Linked DNA regions of Macaca mulatta. The protein of the gene in region 2 interacts with the protein of the main gene of each other region in a pairwise test. Links are inferred from orthologs where the notes say so. Each region holds a gene or a part of one and is shown on either strand. Other genes may lie near its edges. The genes, in order: UBR1 and DNAJB11.

The links.
Region 1: the proteins of DNAJB11 (region 2) and UBR1 interact in a two-hybrid assay, tested with the Homo sapiens proteins (2 studies listed by BioGRID and IntAct). The link is inferred for Macaca mulatta from reciprocal best matches to the Homo sapiens genes DNAJB11 and UBR1.

The regions. Positions count from the first base shown.
Region 1 is NC_133412.1:20,504,684-20,509,173, forward strand, and holds the start of UBR1 (E3 ubiquitin-protein ligase UBR1), read right to left. Parts: upstream 2,999-4,490; 5' UTR 2,908-2,998; coding exon 2,827-2,907; intron 1-2,826. UniProt on the Homo sapiens protein: E3 ubiquitin-protein ligase which is a component of the N-end rule pathway. Recognizes and binds proteins bearing specific N-terminal residues that are destabilizing according to the N-end rule, leading to their ubiquitination and subsequent degradation.
Region 2 is NC_133407.1:98,756,668-98,760,484, reverse strand, and holds the end of DNAJB11 (dnaJ homolog subfamily B member 11), read right to left. Parts: intron 3,755-3,817; coding exon 3,672-3,754; intron 3,029-3,671; coding exon 2,971-3,028; intron 1,879-2,970; coding exon 1,767-1,878; intron 1,313-1,766; coding exon 1,153-1,312; intron 382-1,152; coding exon 317-381; 3' UTR 288-316; downstream 1-287. UniProt on the Homo sapiens protein: As a co-chaperone for HSPA5 it is required for proper folding, trafficking or degradation of proteins.

The DNA.
Region 1 (4,490 bases), on a different chromosome or scaffold from region 2:
TTATAATAAGCCAAGATGGCACCACTGTACTCCAGCCTGGGTGATAGAGTAAGACTCTGTCTTAAATAAATAAAATAAAATAAAATAAAACCGTGTCTCTACAAAAAAATGCAAAAAATTAACTGGGCATGGTGGCACATGCCTATATTCCCAGTTACTCAGGAGACTGAGGTAGGAGGATCACCTGAGCCCGAGAGATTGAGGCTGCAGTGAGTTATGTTTGTGCCACTGCACTCCAGCCTGGGTGACAAAGCAAGACCCTATCTCAAAAAAAAAAAAAGATGTTATCCATTCCCACAACCTCAACTGTAAATTTACTGATAACTTCCAAATACCTAGCTAAGTATTACTCAAAGTGTGGCCCATACACCACTATTACAGAATTAGCATGGCATGCTTGTGAAAATGCAGATTCTTGGACCTCACCTCAGACCTACAGTATTAGTTCCCCTGGTGATTCTTAAGCAATGGCTTTTATCAATGTCCACTAATTCATACATATTATTTTATTTGAATTGCATGTGAGATAATGTTAGGAATACTACAGCCTTCATGCTTACTATCAGCAACATGAATGAAAAAGGATCTGCAGACTAAGAAGAAAATTTAAGGAAATCAGAGACTATAACCAGGGATTAGACTCTAATGGAAATTGTACAATTGCTTAAACCTCTATGAATGTCCCGTACTATTTATCTTTGTCTAAAGATAAACAATAAGGAGTAGGGGGGAACAACTGAGCTTGTATTGCTTAAGAGCAAAGTAGTAAACTGGGAAGCCAGTGTCACACTATGGCTAGAATAAAATTGAAAACAGTAGTATTTTTAAAAAGAGAAAAAGAGAAAGAGAGAGAGGTAGAATGATCTGTAGGGTCTTCAGTAGAGAGAGAGATGCAAGCCATAAAAGGGGTTATAAAGCTTAACAGTCACAGGTCCTCATCTACTGACATTACTCTACCTTGAATTAAAATTATCTGGGCACTTATATTACCTGTGTCACCAGACTGTGAGTTCCCTGAGGCTATATTACACAATCTACCTACTACTTTGCAAAACCTAAAGTCCTGCCCAACAAAATCTAATAATATTTCCTGAGGTAAAGAGTTGCCACATAAATTCTAGCTCAATTCCTGTATCATCTCCAATTCCAAATTAGTGGCGGCCAGAATGATGGGGTTTTACTGTATCATTTGGAAAAAATTAATGTATCAAAGTTTTAAATAAATATTAGTCTTCAGATACAAAATTCTAACAATCCTTCTGACCACAGCACAGTTTCCCCACTCCTTCTAACAAGCAAAACTCACAAACTACCATTAAAATGTTTCAGCTGCTTTTATATTTGTCCTACCTCCTCATTCCTTATCATCACAAATAAGATGCTTTCTCCTTCACTACCAGTAGTGAAGTGAATTTGAACTGCTATTTGGGGTGGAGGAAAACAGCAAGCACTGACATAGTCAGAAGCCAAACCCTTTTCCAACTCCCTCCCTACCTGGTTCCTACCTCCTAGCCAGTCTCTTCAGTCCCTGAAGTAGCTCCCTCTGTTTTTGCATAAAACAATGTTCAATTGTATGCAGGGTTAAAAAACAAACAAACAAAAAAACCTTCAAGAATGCTTTTAATCTGTAATCCCAGCACTCTGGGAGGCCGGGGCAGGTGGACCACCTGAGGTCAGCCTGGCCAATATGGTGAAACCCTGTCTCTACTAAAAACACCAAAAAAAAAAAAAAAAAAAAAATTAGCCAGGCATGGTGGCAGGCGCCTGTAATCCCAGCTACTCAGGAGGCTGAGGCAGGAGAATTCCTGAACCTGGGAGGCAGAGGCTGCAGGGAGGCAGAGGCTGCAGCGAGCCGAGATTGTGCCACTGCACTCCAGCGTGAACGACAGAGTGAGACTCTGTCTCAAAAAATAAAATAAATAAAATAAAACAAAATAAAGCTTTTATTAAACTACAAACCAAAGAAACTTCAGAAAAAATGGTGTATATCCCAAACCTCTAAATGCTGCTATTTGGAAACACAAAACTAATAAAACATTATGCAGCGACAGATACTTGAATATTTTCTACATATCTCCCCACTAGATACCCTGGGCATCCAGAACATTCCCTAACATTGCCCTCTACTCTTATCTTCCACCGTCAGCTTTCTCCCTGTAGCTAGTGACTCAAATTTGTTCAATATCTCTGCCTTCCCATTCTTCCAAAATGCAAGAGCAAAGTATAGATTCCAACATTAATTAATGGTATTGCTCGGGCTTGAAATGTTTGGGAGTTCTTTCTTCAGCTTTAAAAAGTAGCGACAGATGATGGGCTTCTCCACTGAGGGTTAGGCCTGGGGTTCTTAAGATGCTATATCGAAGGCCAATTACTACACCTCACATCTAGACATGACAGTGGCAGCACTCTCTATCATTATCAGGTCCCGGCCAGCAGGCTATGCAATACAATACCAGGTGCTGCATTCCCATCATCAAGAGTAAAGGGTTGGTACTGCTTCTATACGAAAATGGCTCTTGCTCCAACCCCGCCTAGGCCCCCACATCAAACCGTCTAATAACATCACTGGTTCTTTCTACTTCAGAATAGAGACATGCATGCTTGAGATCATCAGAAATAATACATAACAAAGTCATTATATTCCGTACACTTGGCTGGCAGAAATGTGGGTCGCGACTAACTTTTTATTCAGTGGCTTCCTTCCAGATCAATCCAGGTAACTCCCCCTCCCCAGAGCCGCCATAAGGGGTGAAGCCCCACATCCTCCTAAGCGCAGCAGGGAGGGACTGGGGGGAGGACAAAAGAGACTTGCCTATAGGGACTTACACATGCCAGACGCTGAGGGGTCTGGGGTAACTCCGCGCTGATTTCCATCCTCTCCGCACCTCCAGCTTCCTCGTCCGCCATCTTGAGGGAAACTGACTCCTGCAGTTGCCGACCCCCGGCCAGAGGCAAGCGGAAACCTGTGGCCGGTCGGAGACACAGGGACGACACTTTTACGACGGCCCCTGAAGTCGGGTTTGACGCAGAACTGAGGAGCGGCTTCCGGCCCGCTTCCCGGAAGCAAGCGTCACGACGTGAAGGGACTGGAGAATTTTTTTTTTTCCCCTGTAATGTATTAGGCGTAGCGCTTGGTAGCTGAGTGGTTGTATATCTGGATTTGGTGCTGGGAACTTGCATCTACGAGGTTAAAAACAAAAAAAAAAAAGCCAAAGTTAGCGTCCATTACGAAAGGAAGAAAACTCGTCAGGGGCTAAAGCAAGAACCTGTCCTAGCTGGCCGGTTGTTGGCCTGAGGGTGTTTTGTATCCCAGCCTCCCTGCAGTAGTTCCCCAGAGCCTATAAAATGAAAAAGAAAGTACTCACACATCTTCCATTTTTAGGGTTCTACCCCGTGGGCACTTGCACATGTGTACAAAAAAGCTGGGGATCCAGCTTTATTGGGGAGCACGGGGGGGGAATAATTTGGAAACCTAGTCATTCATCGATAGATGAAAGACAAGATAGACTATGGTACATTCGCATTTTGAAATACTGTGCAGCTCTTGAGCAAGATAAATCTGCGTGAAAAGATCAACATAAATTAAGTGAGAGGGAAAAAAGCCAAGTTGCCGCAAACTATGTATTTGCACACATGGGCATTTAAATCTGAAGGAATAAGTCTGAAAGGGGAAAGGGCAAAGTGGTAACTCTGAGGGCCAGGATTCGGATTGGAGGAAGAAGGTGGTCAAGAGCTACTTTACCTTCATCAGTATTTTAAATTGTTTACAAAACAAATAATTTTAAAGTGTATATTTTTAACAAAGGGAAGAAAATAAAGCTCCAAACAATGTGAAAAGCAGAGGAGGCTTTCCAAATGCTGTGGTCCACCTTGATTAGTAGAACTTTCCTGCCTAAACAATGTTTCTGCTCAAATGAACTACCGTCTGGGTGCTAAAGTACTGTTTTTCCAGCCTTTTTTGCCCAACAACCACAATAAATACATTTTACATCTTATCACTGTACCTATACAAAAGTATATGGGTATATATAGAATATGTATATATACGCTGAAACTAAAGTTTCCTGAAACCATGCTTGCGATATGTCATATTTTCTATTCAACTGCAATATGTTTATGCATTTAAGCCAAAATACTGGTTGTAGTTGTTAAAGTGATATTATAATCCACAATAGATATTGTCCCACATTTTGATAAAAATTGCCCAAAAAGTTACCTTGTTCCTTCCTGTCTCTATGCCTTTACTCCTGGAGTTCTCTTGTGCTACCCCACTCTCTTTTCTTCTTCTTTCATTCCTAGATAAATGAAATAGACTAGAAAGTTCAGAAATAGGTCTGGGGCGGTGGCTCACGCCTGTAATCTCCCAGCACTTTGGGAGGCCAAGGTGAGTGGATCACCTGAGGTCAGGAGTTCGAGACCAGCCTGGACAACACAGTGAAACCCCATGTCTACTAAAAATACAAAAATTAGCTGGGTGTGGTGGTGGGTGT
Region 2 (3,817 bases):
CTCCAACCCTCTATGTGTGTTTCTTTTGCTCCTGGAGTCCTCTTGCAGCTTTAATTCTTGAAACTCAGGCGGCAGCACCAGACATTAAATCCCCAAAGGGAGAGGTATTAGTAAACCTTTTGCTGGTCATTCTTTTCTGAATGCAAATGGACAAATTCTTAAGCCCTCTTATTCATTTCATGATGATCATTAGACAAAAAAAATTAAGCCAAACTTGCATATTGAAAATAAAAACAAAAACACACACAAAAAAACCCTGTAGATAATAAATATCGCCGATTCACTTATTTTAAACAAAGTCCAATTTTATTCACTGTTAATATCCTTGCAGTCCATTGTATACCTTCTGCACTGACCCTTGTTTCAGTAGCTGTTTGATACCTGAAGAATGAATGAACAAATGACTCCATTAACAAAAAAATGTTACTTTCCTAGTGTTTAAAGAGCATATTTCAAGAAAAGGCTCATAAAAGGCCTTATGACAAACATGGATGTGAATTAAATAACTACCAATCTCCAACATAATCGCATGTAGGTAATCCCACACATGCACATATGTTTCCAGGATGATCCCTTGTCTCTTTTAGGCCCACATACCACATACATGTCCCACAAAGCTCTGCAAAATGAGGAATGAGAAGAGGCAATCAAAAGGGAAAGAAAACTCTTCAGTTAAGTCTCCCATTCCTTCTTCTGTATCCTCTTTTCAGTTTTTACCTCCTTCATTGCTCTCCTTTCTCTTACTATTTAGGACCCCGAGTGGGGCCCTCTTCTCAGCCAGTCATCCTAGACATGCAACCATAAGCTTCTAATCTTTCTATTGTCTACCTCATCTTCCCTTTTACAGAGTGGTCCAGCTCATTTGTTTTAAGGGATTCTGTTTCATTCCCACATACTCTATCACTCCCTAGGTTTCGAAGCACAGCTTACACAGACTTTTGTAACACAAAGATGTAGGATTTTTAACATATCACCTTTACAAAGTAAGATGAGTTCATTCCTATGTTAGTGTTCTACTAGCATTAATGATTGATGTCTTGATGTCTCATGTCACTGGAGAGTTCTGCTTCTATTGCCACCCTTTTCTCATCACACACACACACACACACACACACACACACACACACACACACACACACTCATATGCCATACCTTCTCTTGCTTCCTCTGTTAACTGTTCTTTTGGAAAATCCACATCAAAAGTGATTATCAAAGAGCCCTTGATATTATTGTTGTCAAAGTTGGGGAGCCCTTCCCCTTTCTTCCATAGCTTCGCTCCTGGCCTGGTGATCTTATCCCGGGAAATATGTACCTAGGAAACAAAAGGGAATGCACTGCAGCAGGAGCGGTACATCTGAAGTACATCATACAGCTTCTAGTGAGCACTGGTACACAAAGCTAATGTCACAGCTCAGCAAAAAGAAAGAATGAAGGAGCAAAGGAAATATCATTAGGACAATGTCAGTCAAGAACAAAGGATTTTATTAAAGAAGAAAATCAAACACAAAAACAAGTAAACAAAGAAAGGTTTTCATCAATAGAAACTATAAGGACAAGACTGTCAAAGGCTGTGCAATCCATTCTGAGTAGCTGAAAGGTCTGGCACTGTTATTGCAGGATGCTCAGCAGCAGAGTAAGTACAGACGAAGAATACGACTGAGAAAGGAGTCCCTCTGGTTCTCAATGACTGAAACAGCTGATACATCTCAAAACTACCCACATAAAGGCTTCAAAAGGAAGGAGAACAAGTAAATTGGTTTGTTTACCTTGTGACCATCCAAGTGAGTAATATCCATCTCAAAGCCAACCAGCGACTCAACTAATGAGATTGTCACATTTGTGTACAAATCATCTCCTCTCCTTTCAAATATTGGGTGCCTAAAAACAGAATAGGTAAACATCATTAATTTCCACTTTAAGTTCAAAGAGTTGTTAGAAAAATCTTGGAAAAAGGTGAACACCACTCTTTCAAACCATAAACATTTCTTAGACATACGTTTGTGTGTAGTATTAATCGAGAATATAAAGTTGTTTAAGTCTTATTAAATGCTACTGTTAAGGAACACACAATCAGCAAAAGCCAGAGTATAAGTAAAACTATAATCATTAGATTATGGAAAAGAGAGAAAGAAAGTTTCTGGGGAGATCATCTTCAGAAATGGGTCTACAGAAGTTTCCTGAGCTGGGCTCACAAGACTAAGTTGGCTGTAGAAATGCAGATAAAATGGGTGGAAGGAAGGGGAAATAGAGTGAGAAGGAATTCTGGCAAAGACAAGGAAGGTGTCAGGTTTATTCAGGAAACAACACACGTTCCAGTTTCTCTAAGAAGTGATGATAAAGACAAGGTAGGCAAAGAAGCTGGGGAAAACAACACTGAGAATAAAGAGTGCAGGAAGGAAAAGTCCCAGACAGTGGGCGGCCATTTCTCCCTATTCTGGTGGGAACTCTGTTTTGATGACTCCTTATAGATGCAGAGATATTACTGGTTTCCAAAGCGGTAACAAGAGAGAAATACTAATCAAGAAAGCCGGAGTCCCAGGCAAAATTGTCTAAGCAGCACTTCATGCTGAAGAGAAGCTCACAAAAGAAAAGCTCTCTCTTCACAGAAGCTGCATATTACGTAGAAAGTTCTTTCTATGGCAAAGTCTCCTATTCTTGTATGGTGCCATAGTTCTTCAGCTAAAATCTCAGCTTTGACTCCCTATCTTGTTTGTTTCTCTTTTATAACTCCTTACTTATCAATTCTTTCCTTTCAACATCTTTTGCATTTGTAAGTCCTAAGTAAATAAATAACTGGGGCTCAATCCTAGGGCCCAACCCCAAGCTTTCAGCCTTGTAGAGGAGTTACAAATCATCGTTTAGGGTAATAAGGGTAAGAAACAGAGAAAAAAGTCTCTAACTGCTCTGGTGGCCACCCACACCTCTATAATCTGACTCATCTGAGAAGACCTCTAAAATTAGATAACTTACTTGACAACTTTGATTCGGAACCGTAAATCTCCAGGCTCCCCATCCACATGAGGCTCACCTAGTCAGAGCAGATTACAGCATATTGTAAATCATACGAGTTGAATACCACACATCTATTTGGCAACTGATAATTCTTTTTAATCCACTACTTTGGGCATTGATCTGTCAAATCTGTGGCGGCTGTGTCTCTGCCTGGTTCTATCAAGTTTCAGATTATTAGAAATCATTACCTTTGCCTCAGATACAGCAGTACATAACTTGACCCATTTCCTAAACCAAGAATGATTCACTAGTCTATTGAACCTAAGTCTCAAAGCTTTTTTTTTTTTATTTTTAGAGTTTTAAACTTAAGTCTAAAGGTGAGGTCCTGAGAACATCTTATTAATGCCAACTAGAGTTACATATCTTCTTTCATTGCTGAGTTAAAATTCATTAAGGTCTGAACACCCTAAATTTTGAGGAAACTTAGGTTACCTCATAATAACTTTTGGCCATGACATTCAAAGGATAAACGGTAATGCTACTGCTTCAGGTAAACAAAAAGTTTTGTATATCCTAAAATTGGCTGAAGGGTATTGGAAATTATATATGCATTTACTATGTGAACATTAAGATGGAGCAAGGCAGGGATGAGAGGTATTCACAAACAAGCAGAGAGCAGAAAGTTATGACAATAAAAAAATCAAATATCAATATTTTACCTTCTCCAATAAAGGGGTACTCCATGCCGTCTCTCACCCCAGGCTCTATTTCTACTTCCAGCGTTCGTTCTTCATTCACTAGTCTGAGGTAAAGACAATTAAAAGAGGAGAAAAATAATGAAAATATAAACAAAACATCAGATATA